Linked DNA regions of Neodiprion lecontei. The protein of the gene in region 1 purifies or fractionates together with the protein of each later gene. This does not show direct contact. Links are inferred from orthologs where the notes say so. Each region holds a gene or a part of one and is shown in the gene's direction. Other genes may lie near its edges.

Region 1 (11,903 bases):
GGTATCCCTTCGAGTAGTAACAAGAGTAAACGAAAGCGAATTTAAAAAATTTGAGGCGGCTGAACTCACACATAGTATTTTGGCTCGCCATGTATTTCAAAGGCACAGTATTTTGCTTCTGCCTAAAAAAGGGAGAGAAAGAGTGGTAGTCGTTTTGTTTGTTTTCTATTTATTTTTATTTGTTCGTGCATGTAATTATACCATGCGATCATTAAATATGTGCCAGGAAACAAAGGCCATGAAAAATTTTTGGTAGTCTCGTCTTACGTGGATGAAGAACTCTGATATCGCAGCTAATATTGCTAGCTTTCTTCGACTGCTGAGCCACATATTTATAATTCAAACCATTTATAACCGCGCCCCTATAATATATTAGATTTATCAATTTAAAAACGATATATTGTATTTTACGATGTGTTTTGACATGACTCCCATCTCCCCTTAGCTCGCATCATGTGCCCACAACAATGTACCCCATTTATTGATTTTCAAATCTCGAGATTGCGCCTGGGGCTCGAATCAAGAGAGAGAACGAGAAGGAGCAGGAGGCCGCTACGTCACGCTTTCTGTTAAATTTCAAAATGGCCGCCCCTACGGAACAGAAATAGTACGGAGTCTAGATCCAAGGAGAACGATAGTAATGTATGTACAAGAAACTGTCGAAAATTTGTAGTAAGATCTTTCTACACTAGAGCCGCTAAAGTTGCTAATGTCAGGTTTTTTAAATTTAAGAAGCGGAAAGTACGGGAATGCCGGGGAGATTGGGGGAGCAAACATTAACAAACTAGAGCCATGAACCTGACATTAACGTCACTAGCGCTACCCTGGTGGACATTGTGAGAATAGGATCTCCTTTTTTCTGGCCGCTAGTAAAGCTAAAACGCCCATGTCGATCGTTCTCATTATATCGAGGCTCAGTGACGAATAGAGACATGGACTTATGTGTAGAAATATACTGCCCGGTCTGTGCACCGAGCTGAAGCCGTAATTAGAAACAGAGAGCAACAGTTGGAGTCTGACCTCTCACTCTATTCGGAGACTTGCCGGGGGAAGCACATGGACTTATGCAATTATATTTCCCAGTATGCGTTATTTCTTTCCCTCGCGGCTGCAGCCCTACTCTTTCGAACGCGCAACAGAGTGATACGGTCGTGCTGTGTTCTCTCTTACTAATTGCGGCTTCAGATCTGTACTTTTATTCGCTGACTTTCATAACTGAAACAAAAAAAATCCCAATTCTTGCATTCCTGGAAACATCTGTGCCAGCGAGGACAAGAATGCGATTGGCAACCACTTGCTCGAGCAACCGAGTGTATCTACATATACACGATTGTGGGCCACCTTCGGTGCATGGCCGCCTGGTGTCAGGTCGGAAATGGGCCACCTTCGATGCGTGGCCGCCTAGGTGTCACGTCGACGCTCCAACTTAGCTGGTATCACGAAAAGCCGAGCGTTGCAGATCTCCCTCTTCATCTCTGATTTGTACACATAACGTTTGTGCTCCTTGTATAGTCTCCATCTCCACGTATCTCACACGAAACGGCATAACGGTGTTATTCTATTAGACAATTCAGAACGGACACACTCAAGTATATTTTTATTTAATGCAGAAATAAAGAAATGGCACGGATTCTACGAAATCTCGATAATAATTTAGGTGAATTCATGCTACTTCATGCATTCATTTCTGCCTCAAATAAAAATGCGTTGGAGTGTTTTTGTTCAGAATTGGGTTAGCCCTTTTTCGCTTGTGAAATATGTAGGGGCATCCCCTTGAGCGAACCCCCCCCCCCCCCCCCCCCCCCCACTACCGTCATTGCAATACCTGAGAAAACACAGTGGACTTGATCCACAGTGTAAGCTTGATCGCAGTGTGAAGAAAAATAAAGAATCGCTTTAATCGCGCGCTGGTGGCTGGCATATGTATTATGTACATATGTATGTACGTATGTATGCATGTACATACATAGATCGAGCCACGTCAAACTGACAACCACCTGTGAGCTCGTCGATGTTGCACAAGCCCGCTTGTGGGTGATCTCGCGTCTAGAGTTGTGGAAAACTGTCATAATTTATTAATCAATTCTGATTCGATCACACGCGTCGTCGTAGTTGCAACAATCTCATCCCTGTTTACATTTGATATCGTCATCTTTGTAGATTCCTTGTATTAGTTTTCCTGGCTGTCTAGACTTTTCACCATCTTATTGCAGCACGTAATTGGTCTTGAGGTTTTTTTTCTGGGTTTCATTGTTATTTCTTCTTTCGACGTGTAAGGCGGAGTATATCTGGTTAGACAGTAGCAAAACAGACAACCGAAAATGGAGTTCTTGTCAAACGCACGTATTGTTCTAGTAACACTATTCGTTTCGTCGATAAAATTGGTAAATATTAATTCACGACCGACATAGCGTTTTATAGTAAAAAACAGACTACAGTTTGTATTTAGGTTGTCAACAATAATTTTGAGGTTAATTTAAGTCTATGTAGTGCATTACTTATTCTCTCATTCTATAATTACAATTTTTCAGCCTACCTAACACAAACTGTGGATAATTTTATTGTCATTGTTGATTTTCATCTTCAGACATCTGCGAACTACTGTGAATGGAATACGTGTCAATCCTGGGAGTACTGCTGCGGAGACAATATGTGCTGTACTAATAATGATGTGGTCCTCAATTTAACGTAAGTAAATTCTAAATCTAGTCTCTTGTCTAACTGAAACTTTCTCCATTTGTATGCCCATTTTTTTTTTAACACTACCAATTAGAATTTTAGTCTGCGCTGCCTTGGCTCTGCTGTTAATATGCTGCAGTATGCTGTTCATGTGCCGATATTTATGCCGTGTCAGACATCCTGTATTCCAGCTTGTAGGTATTGATGGGTGTTTTGCAAAGGATGCCGAGTCTACAAGCAACTTGGTAAGCACGTTTTTTACTAATTCACTTATTTTTTTCTTCTAGAAATGAAATTACCTAACAGGTCATTATTATATTCAGTTTGCAAGTAAACTTGAATTACAGAAATTATACCAAAGGCTTTTGTATGTTATAGCCTGCTTTCGAGGTGGTTAATGAAGATAGAATATACACAGAGCCTCCTCCACCATATTCAGAGGTGACGCGAAATGTGAAGTAAAGGTTGGTCTTTACACAGCTTCTGTCTTTTGTTAAAATTAGTATTTTTTTACAGTTAACGTAATTTGTAATCATTCATTTTCTCAATTGTTAAAATGATTTTCTGTTGTAACGTGTCAAATATTACAGATACACGAGTAATCTAAGGAACGTTGAACTTTGAGGGATCTTGCAAAATCAATTGAACTGAATTCTCTCGAGGACTGGCATCGAATCGAATGAACAAAACAAACAAGGGTGGAATCTCTTTCGATTGTCTAAAATAAATGATAATGTTACGATGGTGATCCAGTATTCAAAGATCACCTGATTACACATATTTATGAATAACACTTCTGATGAAAAAATATACATTTTATTGTGTAATTAATATTATCATTATGTATTATTAAATGAATTCCGTAATTAACCGCAAAAACGTGTTCTTTGTTTTTGATTTCCATGATCGGATTTAACTAAGTGGCTTTTTTTTCTGAAAATGTATATGTATATAATTAATGGTGCCTAATAACCAGATATTACACGCATGCATGAATGCTGAATTCTCTGCGTTGAGGCACATGGTAATTTTATTTGTGGAACCTATTTAAACACTTTTTCCGCAGGTCTATTTAACGATGTATCATTTAATGTTGCAAAGAATGTTAACTAAACATTTATTTCTATTGGAATTTACAGTCTATTGTATTGGTTTCTGTGTTAACATTTTAGGTACAATGTGATACATGTGGATTGATAATCATCAGTAATTTTTGCAGATGATTCAGTAAAGTTGAGAATTAATGGTGCTACTGCCAGAGTAGGCTGAAAAAATGACGCAAGGATTATTAATGGAATATGCTACTTATAATTCAAATTTCAATTTGTACGTTCTTTGAGAGAAACTTACTTCATTACCGAGAGAGGCGGCATTCCAGGATCTGCGCCTTTCTTAAACCCTGGAGAAATAATTGAATTGAAAACTTCAATTGTAGCGATTACGTTGGTCAAAAAATTTCTCTTTCCTTCACTGTGTGTGTATCTAGCAGCACAAAAGCAAATTGAAAACCATTCGAAGAGAATACTAACCTAAAAAGAGGACTCCGGGAATAAATCCCCAATGAAAAACAACCTTCGTCACTTCGATGACAATGGATATTTTCTGTTTAGTTTGCGGACTCAACGCCATTTCCTCTCTTATTTGTAACAAATTTACTTAGCAACGCGGTAGCAGTCGAATTTCAATTTTGTACACGAGATTGTTGGTACCACCGAAGACTATACAAGGTGCACGAACTCCATGCAAACCAGTCAACGCAAATAGCTACCTGAAATAAGATGGCACTGGTGTTTCGTATGCACCGAAGAGACCGAAGACACGTTGAATGATAACAGTTTTTTATACCGTCTAATAAGTGCAATTTTCCCTCCTAGATGGCGCCATCTTTTAATATGCGTTGGCGGCACTTGGCGCAGTTTGGCGGCCAGTGGATTAATTGAATGCCTCGCAGTGTCGTGTTAACTACAAAGTAATGTGTTAATTTCGATTAACCTGCAGCGTACGGAGTATTTGTTGTCAATTTAGTGTATAATCACCAAACTTAGAAGATGTACGCAGTGGAAGATGGTGAGTGATTTATTTCTAGGCGGATTGTGAATTTGTAACACCGAATTATCACTACTATGATTTAAGAAGACATGAGAAAAATAATGGGAGAGAATGAAATACGACTGTAGAACATAACCTTAAAATTGTTATATTTATTTGCTCATTATTTCTAGAGTCTGCTGTATTCTTTGAGTAATTTTCGACTCTAACTAAACCATCTCTTACACAGTCTTACTCCAATTAGGAATTTTCCCAATAACGTCAAAACTGCTTCTCTTATTCATATAGTATTATTTATTTTGCTACTGTCGAAACTCTCCGATCTTCAAGACGTGCCAATAGTCTAATAAATTTTAATATCACTTTAGATCAGTACGACGACGAAGACGTGGAGGAAATCTCAACAGAACTGTGGCAAGAGGCCTGCTGGATAGTGATAAACACATACTTTGACGAAAAGGGACTGGTGCGTCAGCAGCTGGACAGTTTTGACGAGTTTATACAAATGTCTGTACAAAGAATAGTTGAGGATTCACCTCAGATCGACCTACAGGCTGAGGCTCAGCACACATCTGGAGAAATCGAGAATCCTGTTAGACACCTGCTCAAATTTGAACAAATCTATCTCTCCAAACCGACACATTGGGAAAAAGATGGAGCCCCGTCACCCATGATGCCCAATGAAGCTAGACTAAGAAATCTCACCTATTCTGCACCCCTTTACGTCGATATTACCAAAACTGTTGTCAAAGATGGAGAGGACCCAATAGGTAAGGCTCAGCTACGATCAACCTATTTATTGTATGTACCAACCTATGTGTGACTTCAAAATGATGAACTATAGCAAAAATTTGATTTAATTTTAGAAACGCAACATCAGAAGACTTTCATTGGAAAGATTCCTATCATGTTGAGATCGACTTACTGTCTGCTTTCTGGTCTGACAGATCGTGATTTAACTGAATTAAACGAATGCCCTTTAGATCCTGGTGGTTATTTTATCATAAATGGTTCTGAGAAGGTGCGTCTGACATATTTCTCCTCATTCTCTAACTGTTGATCACTATCAAGACCCTGAAGATTAAATAATGACGAACTGTGATCTTAGGTCCTCATTGCGCAAGAAAAAATGGCCACAAATACTGTGTATGTGTTTAGTATGAAGGATGGAAAGTATGCCTACAAAGCAGAGATTCGATCCTGTCTGGAGCACAGCTCTCGGCCGACGTCAACTCTGTGGGTAAACATGATGGCGAAAAGTGGCGCAGTGAGTTCTTTATTATTTTTTATTATGACACAGTACATTCGTTGAAGTAAGGACGGCTTGTGTCAACAACCATGTGACATCTTTTACAGAGTATTAAAAAATCGGCTATTGGACAGAGAATAATAGCTATACTTCCGTACATAAAACAAGAAATACCAATAATGATAGTGTTCAGAGCTTTGGGGTTTGTGGCGGACCGTGACATCCTCGAGCACATTATATATGACTTTGACGATCCAGAAATGATGGAGATGGTGAAACCGTCGCTGGATGAAGCGTTCGTTATACAAGAACAGAACGTGGCTCTGAATTTCATTGGTACAAGGGGTGCGAGACCTGGAGTGACAAAGGAGAAGCGTATAAAGTACGCAAGGGAGATATTGCAAAAAGAAATGCTGCCCCACGTGGGCATAAGTGATTTCTGTGAAACAAAGAAAGCCTATTTCTTGGGATACATGGTACACAGGCTGCTCTCAGCCTCGTTGGGCAGAAGGGAACTCGACGATCGAGATCACTACGGAAACAAAAGACTGGATCTAGCTGGACCGCTGTTAGCGTTTTTGTTTAGAGGGTTGTTCAAGAATCTCATGAAGGAGGTGAGAATGTACGCCCAAAAGTTTATTGATAGAGGAAAAGACTTTAACCTGGAGCTGGCCATCAAGACTAAGATAATTACAGATGGTTTGAGATACTCGCTGGCGACGGGAAACTGGGGAGATCAGAAAAAGGCTCACCAAGCAAGAGCCGGTGTTTCCCAGGTGTTGAACAGGCTTACTTTTGCCTCAACTTTGTCCCATTTGAGGAGAGTGAATTCGCCCATTGGCAGAGATGGGAAACTGGCTAAACCACGTCAGCTGCACAATACTTTATGGGGAATGTTGTGCCCTGCTGAGACACCGGAAGGTGCAGCTGTAGGTTTGGTCAAGAATCTGGCTCTGATGGCGTACATCAGCGTTGGATCACAGCCATCGCCGATTCTCGAATTCTTAGAAGAATGGTCAATGGAAAATCTTGAGGAAATTGCTCCCAGTGCGATTGCTGATGCGACAAAAATTTTCGTCAATGGTTGCTGGGTTGGAATACACAGAGATCCAGAACAGCTCATGGCCACGTTGAGAAAACTCAGAAGACAGATGGACATTATCGTCTCTGAAGTATCTATGATCAGAGACATCAGGGACCGAGAGATTAGGATTTACACAGATGCTGGGCGAATTTGCAGGCCGCTTTTAATCGTCGAGAACCAAACGTTACTGCTCAAAAAACGCCACATTGACATGCTCAAGGAAAGAGAATATACCAACTACGGGTGAGTCTTTTTTTTCTCAAGAAGAAACTTCTCATCCTCTTTCGTTTCATATTACAACGATGTGATCACCTTCATTGTAGGTGGCAGGTGTTGGTCGCTAGCGGAGTTGTTGAGTACATCGATACGCTAGAAGAGGAGACCGTGATGATCGCAATATCGCCAGAGGATCTCCGACAAGAGAAGGAGTACGCGTACTGCACAACTTACACCCACTGTGAAATTCACCCTGCTATGATTCTCGGGGTGTGCGCTTCCATCATTCCATTCCCCGATCACAATCAGAGTCCCAGGAACACCTATCAAGTGAGTGCCGGTGCAAAACTGAAAATCATCAAAAAAACGATTCTAATGTGTCTTATGACCAATTTTTCGACTCAGAAGTGATATCTATGTGTCCGTAAGGTATTGTTTTGTCAAAAAAATGACTCACGTCTTTTAGTTATCAAAAAATAAGTCATAAAACATCATTTTGACAAATTTTAGTTTTCTGCTGTCTCGGCAAATACTGACTAATTGTTTTCATGTCCTGTTCCGTTTTTCAGAGCGCTATGGGTAAACAAGCAATGGGCGTTTATATTACGAATTTCCACGTCCGAATGGATACCTTGGCGCACGTTTTATACTATCCCCACAAACCTTTGGTAACAACAAGATCGATGGAATATTTACGGTTCAGAGAACTACCTGCTGGGATAAACAGTATTGTGGCTATTCTCTGCTACACGGGATATAATCAGGAGGATAGTGTTATCCTGAACGCTAGCGCGGTGGAAAGAGGATTCTTCAGGTCCGTTTTCTACCGTTCTTACAAAGACTCCGAGTCCAAGAGAATCGGGGACCAAGAAGAACAGTTTGAGAAACCGACAAGACAAACGTGTCAAGGAATGAGAAACGCGATTTACGACAAATTGGACGACGATGGTATTATTGCGCCGGGAATTCGAGTGTCTGGCGACGACGTCGTCATTGGCAAGACTATTACACTCCCCGAAACAGACGACGAGGTTTGTATGCGAATTCCTTATTAAGGTCAGATACAACCATCCGGAATTGACTTTGTTTCATTGCTTGATTATTTAATCACAGCTCGACAGTACGACAAAACGATTTACAAAAAGAGACGCGTCAACCTTTTTGCGAAACAGTGAAACTGGAATTGTTGATCAAGTCATGCTGACGTTGAACAGCGAGGGCTACAAGTTCTGTAAAATTCGAGTGCGCAGCGTCCGGATCCCACAGATCGGTGACAAATTCGCTTCTCGTCATGGGCAGAAAGGTACTTGTGGTATTCAGTACAGGCAGGAGGACATGCCGTTTTCGTGCGAGGGGTTAACACCAGACATCATCATTAATCCTCACGCCATTCCGTCGCGTATGACAATCGGTCACTTGATCGAGTGCATCCAGGGAAAAGTATCTGCAAATAAAGGTAAAGGAATTAAATTATCGATAGTTTATCTATCGCGTATCCATGTTCCAACAGATTGAAACAATTAATTTCTGCAGGTGAGATCGGCGATGCAACGCCCTTCAACGATGCCGTGAACGTACAAAAAATCTCCACGCTTCTTCAAGAATACGGATATCAGCTCAGAGGTAATGAAGTTATGTACAACGGACACACAGGTCGTAAAATAAATGCCCAAGTCTTCCTTGGTCCGACTTATTATCAGCGTTTGAAGCATATGGTGGACGATAAGATTCACAGCAGAGCCAGAGGGCCCGTACAAATTTTGGTCAGACAGCCTATGGAGGGTAGGGCGAGGTAGGTTTTTAACTGAGCAAATACCTCGGAACTTCAAAGGTATTCATTCCTCAATGATCTACGATTGTTTTCACTATTTACGCGTACAGGGATGGTGGACTACGATTCGGGGAGATGGAACGTGACTGTCAAATATCTCACGGAGCGGCGCAATTCCTTCGAGAGCGTCTCTTCGAAGTGTCGGACCCGTACAGAATTCATATCTGTAATATCTGCGGCCTAATCGCCATTGCGAATCTTAGGAACAACACGTTCGAGTGCAAAGGGTGCAAGAACAAGACTCAAATTTCACAAATCCGACTGCCCTATGCAGCAAAACTACTATTCCAGGAATTAATGGCTATGAATATAGCCCCGCGACTTATGGTCATTTGAAGAGGAGATTTCTAGGTGATGCTGTGTCGCTGGGTTATTCGGCAAGCATTCGGTACTTTGTCAGTACTTCTGATGTCGAGCCTTACGAATCATACAACAATTCGTGTTTCATTTTTATCGACACACGTATTCTTAAACGTCCAATTTTATTTTATTTTTATCCTCTGTATTGCAGGCTGGAACGTCACAATCAATACTGATTGGATCGATCGAACAAATTCTTACAATCGCTAATTCATCGATTATATGTGTAGCCAAGATTATTTGTTGAACATCCTAACTTAGGTACGGATGTGATTTTTAACACAACAAAGAAAGAGAGAAGGACAAAATGGAAATCGAAATAGTTATTTTCTGATTATTATTTATGAATTATCAAAATTGAGAATAAATAATATTATTGATAATCGTTGGTGTGATGTTATTTAACAATTTTCATCTTCAATATGGGGTACGGTGTTATTTTCAATACCTCACTGAAGTGATATCTCATATTAATACTTTATCATTGAAATAATCAATTCAACGGGATTGATAAGATGCTGATTATTGACACAATTTTTGTTAATAGCTCTTAGATCGGCAGTATCATATAACCGATTGAATTGTGACTACTGTTTCGAAGCTTGTCTCGGTCCAATAAAACAACACGCTCTAGAATGGAGCACAGTAATATTGTTCTTGTTTTAGTAATCGAATTTCTGAGTATGGGAACATGTTAATTTCATTCTAAGCGACATGAGAACATATCAGAAGAAGAAAAGGCACTGGAAAGAAAAATTATCTATATTTGTGCATGCGATAAAAGTACATCGGTTTGACGTTACTCGATGGATTCAAATGAATCAAGATTAAACACCTATTGCAGCAATAAATAAATCGGTGCGTAAATAATTGAAAAATTTGGTAATTCCTGTTGAGCTATTCATGCAATAAGAAATTTCAACTCTTCCAAGGCTATCAAGTAACGCAGTCACTGATTTCTGTTTGAAAAAGCGAATGGGATTAGCTATTGTTTCATCAGTACCAAATATTGGAAAATTAGCAAAGGGAAAATAGCCTCTCAGTGATAAAATAAACTCCAGGTAAGTTATTGCAACTTGATTAATGATTTAATTTCCCAACAGAAATTTATGTGTTCTGATTTGAGTGCAATTGGCTCAACTTTACATAATGTATATATTTTATATGCCAATGTACGCTATCAGAAGATTAGATTAGATTAGATAAGGAGAATTTCAACATTACTGTGCAACGGAAGCAAGAAGGATAATTTCGAAAAATAATAGAGCTGCTCTTCAAAAGCAATTGTTTGTTTAAATGAATATTGTGTGATCTGAATGTAAGAAATAAACTGGCTAGTAAAAGTACAATTTAAATTATTCATTTTTTTGTACCACAGATATTGACGGCAGAGTTGATTGATCCCGCAAAAAAAAGAAACAAAGAACAAAATGTCAGCCAAAAAGTTTTTGACCGATTTGTTTGGTAACAAGAATCAAGTAGAGATAACAGCTCAGATTGATGAGCACAGCGGCAATCGTCGATTATCAGTATCAAACTCTGGGAGATTTAGACAGAAGAATAAAAACAGGGTTGAAATAAAAAATGACACCTTCAGTTCTCCATCCCAGGAACAACCAGAAGTTAACGTAGCAAATAAACTGGACTCGGAAATGGACCGCAAGAAATCGGCCAAAGAAAGAAGTATAAACAATAACGATAAGACGTAGGTATTACAGCATTAAATTTATTGAATTTCAATAGGCTATCAACTATTGTACGGATATTGCCCCAAAAGAATTGCAACAAACTATTATCAAATATTATGTATTTATTAATAATTATATTTTTACATATATGCATATCGTACATGTACGTATAGATCTTAATCTTACATTGTATCATACGCTATTTTAAGCTTGACAAAACGCCCGTTAAAAATATTTGTGAAATTCCTGAGTATATAAAAGTGATAAACTTGTTGTTTGAGAATTCTGAGTGGGGTATTCAACGTTTAAGTGCAGTTTAAAAAAAAAAATGTTGGGCCGTTGATTTGCTGAGCTATAAAAACATGACGCATCTCTAATATTCACTATTCCTTATCGTAATTCAGATTGTATACATTACAGTTTGACTGTGCAGTGAGAGCTATTCGATATAAGCATATAAAATAGGAAAAATTGGAAAAGACTTGGTTATTTCAAGATTCTAAATTTGAAAATACGATCAGGGTTCATCTATTCACGGTATTTGAATAATTTATACAGGTACTTAGATTCTTCGTTTAAAAAATATATGTCATCTATGACATCGTCGTGATTACTATGAACACTTGGAAAGAGTATCTTCTCATCTTTAGTAAATGAAAACCTTACAAATCATGTGGTATGTATAATAAACTTTGAATCAACAATTAGCTATTTATTACATGTAAAAATGTGATGAAAATCAATTAC
Region 2 (8,770 bases), on another chromosome or scaffold:
CGACTCCATATCAGCAAAGTTTATTAGCCAATGGTTTAGTCGCATATCTTTAACCGTTTCTATACATTGAACAATTACAAAATCACATTTTGGCCACTTGCAGAAAATATGTGTAACCATCCATAAACAGAAAAGAACAATGAATTACTTCCACATTTAGGTTGAGTGAAGAACATTAAATTGAATTGAAGTAGGTTAGGTTGAGTCAGAGTTATAGGTTATAATTCTACTCACGAGCTTGGTCTGTGGGATTCATGTATTTTCCACTTTTCGTGGTATTTATCGATCTTCGACCCATATTTGATTATTTTTTAATACACACTTCACAATTAGTGGAACTAGACTTCGTTATATTAACAAACTCTATTACTTTAATCACGATCTTCAGCACAAGTCTGGTGCTCGGTGCTTCATCAGTGCTGCCATATATCTTTGGGTATGTTCCGACATACACTGCGAGCACTGTTCAGTGCTCTTACTGGAGAGAAATTCGTTCCGTTATAAACTGACAGCAGAGAGCTGACAGTCAGTCGCGGTATCCTAGGGAAATATATGATGTCATAAATCGTCTTCATTTTTCTACTGTGAACACTGGTTCTAATTCAGGTAGCCAATTGTAGATGATTGCAGAGTTTGCATCACGCTTGTGTGAATTTCAAAGGTAAATATCAAATATAAAATGAAAATATATTTGAATGAGTACAAATTGAATAGATCTTGAATTATTAGAAATGCGTTAATTAATGTATAGGAATGGGAAATTACAATATTAAACAGGAAACATTCAAGTTACCTTTTCGAGCACAATAGAGATTATGGCCGGTATTCATAGTCAGTGCTTAAGACCGGACTCGAATAAGACGGTCTTATACGAGGCCTTAAGATGGCGTTTGGTTCCATAGACGTCAAACAAGACGGTCTTGAGACGCGGCAAATAAGACGGTCTTCATCAAGTCGGTCTTATTCGAAGCGTGCTTACAAGGTTGCATAGTCCAGTCTTATTTGAAATAAGCATGGTCTTGAGCACGCAACGTTTCATAGTCAATTAACGCAGTCTTATTTACGTATCTTGATCAAGTCGAGTTCGGACTGCACTTAAGCAAATGCTTGTTGCCTAAATATTACTCAATTGTTCTGATGCGTACGAAATTGATAATTACGAATTGTTTGGAAAATATTATATTCGAACAATATAAATTAACAGGAATAGATTGTGAAGGAATGTTTGGGAAAGTGCAGCTGGGACGGGATTATTTACTGTAAAAGGGTAGCAACGGAAACTTGCAATTGAAGTAGAGGTTATGAGAGCATTCGCTTTGAAAAATTTGTGAAGTGAAGTGAATAGTGAAATTCTACTGACATGGCGAATATGCAAGATATGTTTAATTTCTACGATCAGATCGAAGAAATGAATAATATGATTGTTCAATGGTCAACGTTGGGCCGAATGACGAAGACGAGGGTGAAGTACAGCGAGCTCCGAAGAGATACATCAGAGATGGTCAAAACCCGTTCGAGTTTTATTCCGAGCAGGAGTTCAAACGGCGATTCCGATTTTCAAAGGATGGTATTATGTACGGAATACTACCTAGAATTGAAGCTGCCTTAGTCAGTGCCAATAATCGTGGTCTACCAATTCCACCTGTCATGCAATTATTAATATGTCTACGATTTTACGCTACCGCTAGCTTTCAAGTAAGGATCATTGTGATTATAATTCCTGACATTCTACTGAAAATATAAAGTGATTTCATTGCTTCCTGTGATCATGGAATAAATGATTGCTAATACATTTTGTACTGTACAGCTCGTCAACGGAGATCTGATGACTATATCGCAGTCTACAGTATCGAGGATAATACACAGAGTATCGGCTCAAATTGCATCATTGATTCACGCAATTATCAAATTTCCTAGTACGGAAGCTGCTATGATCGCAAACAGAGATCTATTCAGACAACTTGGTGCACGCAGGGAGGGTATCGGTTTACCTGGCGTTGATGGCGCTATCGACTGCACTCACATTCGATTATGTCATACGAAATTTGCAGACCTGCAGGAGGTTTATAGGAATCGTAAGGGATATTTTTCCCTCAATGTACAGGTATGTCGCGTTGGTGATAACCGTTTACAAATACCATAAGTTGCAATTAATTTTATCTAGGATACAAATAAACAATACTATTCTATGAAAATCGGTACTTTTAATTTAAATGATACCACAGGCAGTTATCGGACCCAATATGGAATTCTTGGATGTGGTTCCGGAATGGCCTGGAAGTAACCATGACAGTCAAATATTCCAAAATTCACGAATTTACATGCGGTATCATGAGAGACAACTTACTGGAACCCTGGTTGGAGATGCCGGCTATCCGTGCTTGCCATTTCTGCTGACTCCACTGGCAAATCCAATTACAGATGCTCAACAAAGGTAAGATAAAGATTATCGCATTACTTTAGATTTCGATAAGTAGTCATAAAATTGACAAAGTATACATGTGTGAATTAACCAAGTCGGTATCTTGATAGGTATAACAACGTACAAAGCAGAACAAGGCAAATTGTTGAAAGAACATTTGGAGTTTGGAAGCGACGTTTTCCTTGCCTATCCCGAGGTTTGGGAACCAAATTGTTGTGCTCTACCACAATTGTTGTAGCTTGTGCCGTACTACACAATTTATCACTAACATTGGATAATGCTCTTCCGGAAGATAATCGCATCGAGGAAGAAGAAGCGGATGAATTGCCACCTCAAGCACCGCATTGGCAGCCTGGAGAGGGTTTTGCAATACGCGAAGCTCTAATCGAACGGTTATTCATTTAATCAAAATATATGTATATCAAGTTAATTTAATTGTAAAGACTAATTGATTTTAGAATGAATATACTCCAAATATTTAATAAAATTGAATTTAATCTGTACAAACAGTTAACATTAGAATACATATTTTACTCATAACTTATCATTGGTTCTCATTTTATTTTTAAACCCCTCACTTACTCATGAAAATACTGATATGTACGTAATTGTACTAAGCGTCAGTCTTATAGTTACGATAATACTTATGAAAATTTGTCTACGTAAAAATATTCAATACATTATAAATACAGCCAGTAAATAGAACTAAAGTTGCTCTTTTGAACTTTGAAGATCAAAGGTTGTCCCTTTCACGCGCATTTTTTTGCAAGTCTGCACCGGGATTCCTTTTAACATATCAATACAATTTATTTATCAATAACCGGTATAGAGATTTACATAATGATATAGGTTAAAATATGTGTATATAAAAATTATATACACATAAACATACACTATAAAATTCTTTTTCTTCTTCTTCGTTTTATAGCTATACACCCACTACAAAAAATTGCACGCGATTTGTTCCCGTTTTTTAGTTCCTCTACGTGGCGCTAACGTTGTTGTGTTCATAAACTATAAAAATACTCAAGAGCTGCATGCCTATACGAATATCTTGCACAGGCTGAGAAATAAAATCCGAGCATCTTATTGGGGGATACATCGGAAATATTCCGAACATAACCGAACGTCGAATAAGACCGTCTCAAGCTCAGTCTTCGTCAAGACGGTCTTGAATGAAATAAGCTAGCGCTTGAGACCAAATTCTTGACGAAGACCGTCTTGTTTTCCGACTATGAATACATAGCATCTCAAGACGGTCTTGAACGAATAAGACGATCTTCACCAAGACGGTCTTAAGCACCGCCTTGAGACCTGACTATGAATACGGGCCTATGACTCGTTCGCATCATCTATTTAGAATTCTGCACTGTTGGTAGCATGTAAATAATTACCATTCAGCTTCCCGTTTTCGACCGCAGTGCCGTCTGGATTCCTCCCAGCGCAAAATGATGGTGAAATTTAAGGTACTAAAAACCTGTATCCGAGAACCGGACCGATTTCTAGCACCGTGTCAACACGTTTGAGACACTGCTTTCAAGTGGCACGTGGTTGTCATAATTTATATACAAAATGCGATGTTCGAGTACTGAAAAGAAGACGAAAACCAGCACAACCGTAGTGCAACAGAAAAAATCGGTTGGAGAACATTAAAAATTCATCCCGATAATTCGATATTTTGATTAACAACGTGTTAATAATTGCATGCAAATATGAGATATGCCCAACTGGTTATGGGGCCCGCTGGCTGCGGAAAGGTAAATATGTACGAAGTGTGTATTAGCACTACAGAATGAATCTTCACGGCACTTCACACATGCCGAAAGTTCAAGTGTACCATATTTTTGGCAAAAAATTTCAGTGTCTGAACAATTTTTCGAGGCACGCTCAAATTGAGTGACAAAGGTTAGATAAAGTTTGGCTTCTGTTTAGACATCCACTCTACTCTACTGATGTTTTACCAAATGGCGATGTCTACAATCACAGTCTAGACGGGTTTAACAAACTTTGATCTAACAAACTTTATTCTAACAAAAATTTAACTCATGATCTGAGGTGACAGATTTTTTAAACTTGTTTCACTAACTTTGGCATTGTCTAACCTCAAAGTTAGTGTCAGCTCAGGATAGTTTTTGTGATTCATTCTGATAAAATGGAGAATTAGATTTTCTGAAAAATGATGAGGTATCTCCTGTTGAGGTAAACCTGTTAATCAGCACGCTAGAAAATAGTATGGATAATATGAGGTTTTTAAAAGATTTCCAAAGAGTTTTGATGTTCAGCATTTGATCTCTTAACAATGTTGAAAAGATGGGTGATTTAATCAATACTTCACTATTTATATGATTACTGAACAGTCGATGAATATATAATAATTTGATAAGTTCCAAATATGCACACTTCTTGCAATAAAATTAAAGAAAAGTCATTAAATTTCGAGACACCAACCTCCTTAAGAGTGTGCCCTGTTTGATTTCCGACGTTGATATATATATCTGCAAATATCGAAGCCCACGTATCTCAATCGCAAAAAAGAGCTTAAAGGCTTCATCCTATACGCAATTCTGAACAAAAACCCCCCAACGCATTTCCATTTGACGCAGGAATAAAGAAATGGCACAGATTTTACAAAATCGGAAAAGTAAATTCGTTGAATTCATGCAATTTCTGTATTTCTTCGTCAAATGAAAATGGATTAGAGTGTTTTTGTTCAGAATTGTGTATAGAATGGCACTGTTAAGCCCTTTTTTGCATTAGAGATATGTGGGCTTCAATATTTGGAAATGCATACATCAGCGTCGAAATTAACTAGGACACCCTCTCAAGCAGTCAATGTTATATTTGTTGAATGCATTAGCCAGATATCTGCTACTATTACCAGAAACAAATAAATAACCTAAGTTGTATATTGATGAGTCTGTAATTATGTCTTACAGTCTACATATTGTTCCACTATGGTACAACATGCAACTGATGAAAAGAAGGTTATAGAAGTGGTGAATTTGGACCCAGCAGCTGAGTACTTCGACTATGAGCCTCTGGTAGACATACGAGAATTAATTCACTTAGATGATGCCATGGAGGATCAAGAGTTGAAGTTTGGTCCTAATGGTGGCCTTGTGTTCTGTATGGAGTGAGTGTCTATTTGATTATTTTTCTCATTCAACTTTTTACTTCACGTTTGTAACCCGAAATATTGATTCATTAGATACCTACTTGAGAATTCGAAGTGGCTGGAGGAACAATTAGGTGACGTGGATGAGGACTACATAATTTTCGATTGCCCTGGTCAAATAGAACTGTATACGCATATGACGGTGATACGTCAGCTTGTCGACATGCTGCAGAATATTAATTTCCGAATTTGCGGTGTGTTTTTATTGGACAGTCAGTTTATGGTAGACGGTTCGAAGTTTCTGTCGGGCACAATGGCAGCCCTTAGCGTGATGATTAATTTAGAACTTCCACACATCAACATTCTCACTAAAATGGACTTGCTCTCAAAAGGAGCAAGGAAACAGTTGGATAGATATCTAGAACCAGATCCACATAGCTTGTTGGCTGATATGGAAAAGGGTCACTGGAACCAAAAGTATAGAAATCTCACTGAAGCTCTTGGAAGATTGATCGAGGACTACAGCTTAGTTAGATTTTATCCACTCAATATCAAAGACGAAGAAAATATTGCTGACATAAGGCTGACTATTGATAATATCATCCAATATGGTGAGGAAGCTGATGTCAAAATGAAGGACTTCGACGAGCCAGAGCAAGATGATGGTGATTAACATAAACCATCCAATCCATCATGTAAATAAAACTATTTTTTTCAAATAATAAATTGTCTTTACACGTCAGTACCATGTGTTTCATTCGCTACAACGATGTGTCAAGTGAAGAGCTTCCCTCACGATTTTTGGCTTCTCAAACTGAACACATGTCAGTTGTTGTTTTCTGTAGTCTTGAAGCTTATTTCAGTGCAGTCTACTCTGTCAAAGCAAATGTTCAATACAAACCACTGCATCATTTTACAGGCTGTTTACGACTATAACCTAGTTATGTATACTTGTTTAAAATTATTACCGTCAATTTTAAAGTTGTTTTAGGTATTTTAGAATGGATTTCCATCAACCAAATTGATAGGTATTAAAGTTTATTTTTGTACAAAGATTTTCATGGTACAAGGGCCATAAACATTTGGTATCAATGAATTTTATGATCAACCAACTTTATTCTCGAATGGTGTATTCTATGCTGAGAAATATGTCAGCCTCCTTTGCTGGTACTCGGTTCACTTTTTTGGGACTTCGCTCGTCTGTCCTGTTCGGCTTTTTGTTTTGCAAGAAAAGTTTTAAAAGATTCTGCCTCTTTTCGTTCATCCTCGTCCACTCCTGGATCTCCAGAATTCTCTTCGCCTTCTTCATCATCGCTAGACTCGTTGGCTGGGTGTTTCAGATAGATATCTGCTATCTCACGGCCAACATTAACTGTACTGACCAATGGAACAACATCGCCGGAACCTTCCGCAGCTGCCTTTTTCAATTGTGCTTTCCTTGCTTCTTCCTGTGCTTTTGCATTCTCCACGCGGATTCTCTCCCAATCTTTCTTATAGTCTCTGGAACATTCGTTAAATAGTATAGAAAGTATACAATAAACGAAATACTTATGAAGGTGTAGTTCGTAATTTTAATGGCTAAATTCTCTTTCCTACACATCCATTACGTGAACGTTTCCAATTTCAATCTCATAAATATTTCTCAACAATTTTGATAATCTTATCAATCAGAAGTTGAATGGTACCCGTTGAAATATAAAGTAGGGTAATGTTAGTTTCGTGTTCAGAATATCTTTTAAACGAATTAAGTGAAATATTGGCTTAAATAACGTTGCAAATGAGTGAAATATTACATTATAGCCAAGTTTTAATGCAAAGGATGAATAGTCGAGAATTTTCTCACTTTTCTGTCAAAAGCCGTGAATTTTTGAGAATTTTTAAACATTTCAGTACAAAATTACGTTTCATATTCTTTGGCCGCTTCTTCAATCAGCTTGAAGAAGCGGGGAACTCCATCCCCGGTCAATGCCGAGACACCACAACTGCGCAGGTGACAATAGAATTCGTCAAGTGCTAGTGCCAAACTGCGTGTCAAGTTACTTATGTAGCTAGTCTCTGATTCCAAGGCTTCTTGGAACGATTCAAAATCTTGCATCCAATCCACTGCATAGCTGTGCTCAACAACATCTATCTGTAACCATAAAATCTCAAATGAAATCTACTAATCGAGTGTTGATGAAGTGTACATGCATTGAAAACTGCAAAATTTGTACTAATCAACGATTACTTGAATTATTTGTATTTTTCTCAATTTACCTTATTCATTGCTATAACGAATGGAAGTCTGGTCTTGTAAAGAATAGAACATGCATATAGCATATTCGACATAAAGGTAACTGGGCTGACGCTCCTCACAGTATCCATGACATAGACAATCACAGTTGGAAATTCAGAAGCCAATGCCTCAGTGATGATCGTGCCGCTGGCTGACCAAGTGAAAACCTCTATTTGACCAGGAGTATCCAATATAACAAATTCGTGTTCTTCTCCTGCCTTTTCAATCAGTTTTATCACCTGGTCAAATTTTGTTGAGAATAAATTCAGTGCCGTAACAATACCACCGTTTGGGCCCAACCCATACTGCTTCATGACCTCCTTGTAGTTGACCGTGTCTCTAATGTCTGAAAAAATGGTTGACTTATCGAGCAACTATTGAACATCTTAAGACGGCCGCAGACACATAATGATGGTCGCCGATCCATCCCCTATCTTGCTTCATACAACCCTAACGGCTCATGAGAACCAACTCTATCACATATGGCGAGTGTTCGTAGTGATTATTATTAATATTATTATTATATTATTCTTGTCCCGAATTGTTGCATTTATCTTTATTAAAAAGTTTATTGAGGAGATATATACAAGTAGATGGCTAGAATTTTGGGAATTTATATCTCAACAACCAATTATGCAATTTGATTAAGATTCGTTTCATTCAAATGTCTGCAGATTAAGTTCCATCAACGTTTTCTCTATTAAAATCAGACAATAGGAAAGATTGTTATTCACATTAGGATAAACCGTTTTGCTCAGTGACACGTTTTTCAGTGCCCATGATGTCGCAGAAACAGCTCGACTGATTTGTATCAAATGAGGATAGATTATTCTTGGATAATTTATCCTCTTTGCCACGACTCTACTTTTCTTTTGAAAATTTTCATGTTTTTTTGTTAATTGAGTTAAAAAAAAAGGTTTAAATTTAGCACGAAAAATCAAATTTCTTGTCATGATAT

The links. Proteins that work in one complex are often made in the same cells at the same time.
Region 2: the proteins of DNA-directed RNA polymerase II subunit RPB2 (region 1) and GPN-loop GTPase 3 purify together in Homo sapiens (co-immunoprecipitation; 3 studies listed by BioGRID and IntAct, counting the BioPlex papers as one, with this or other methods). This does not show direct contact. The link is inferred for Neodiprion lecontei from reciprocal best matches to the Homo sapiens genes POLR2B and GPN3.

The regions. Positions count from the first base shown.
Region 1 is NC_060263.1:16,082,316-16,094,218, reverse strand, and holds DNA-directed RNA polymerase II subunit RPB2, read left to right. Parts: upstream 1-4,587; 5' UTR 4,588-4,727; coding exon 4,728-4,746; intron 4,747-5,096; coding exon 5,097-5,498; intron 5,499-5,594; coding exon 5,595-5,749; intron 5,750-5,836; coding exon 5,837-5,995; intron 5,996-6,084; coding exon 6,085-7,304; intron 7,305-7,384; coding exon 7,385-7,607; intron 7,608-7,846; coding exon 7,847-8,308; intron 8,309-8,390; coding exon 8,391-8,733; intron 8,734-8,810; coding exon 8,811-9,069; intron 9,070-9,158; coding exon 9,159-9,444; 3' UTR 9,445-9,851; downstream 9,852-11,903. Other genes in the region: uncharacterized protein LOC107220288, read right to left, coding at 70-122, 268-330; uncharacterized protein LOC107220317, read left to right, coding at 2,322-2,384, 2,588-2,688, 2,774-2,924, 3,058-3,141; E3 ubiquitin-protein ligase TM129, read right to left, coding at 11,896-11,903. UniProt on the Homo sapiens protein: Catalytic core component of RNA polymerase II (Pol II), a DNA-dependent RNA polymerase which synthesizes mRNA precursors and many functional non-coding RNAs using the four ribonucleoside triphosphates as substrates.
Region 2 is NC_060262.1:18,446,135-18,454,904, reverse strand, and holds GPN-loop GTPase 3, read left to right. Parts: upstream 1-3,894; 5' UTR 3,895-4,134; coding exon 4,135-4,179; intron 4,180-5,358; coding exon 5,359-5,555; intron 5,556-5,630; coding exon 5,631-6,210; 3' UTR 6,211-6,279; downstream 6,280-8,770. Other genes in the region: WW domain-binding protein 11, read right to left, coding at 235-298; putative nuclease HARBI1, read left to right, coding at 1,429-1,695, 1,808-2,104, 2,226-2,434, 2,533-2,827; GPN-loop GTPase 1, read right to left, coding at 6,689-7,037, 7,439-7,668, 7,794-8,158. UniProt on the Homo sapiens protein: Small GTPase required for proper localization of RNA polymerase II (RNAPII). May act at an RNAP assembly step prior to nuclear import.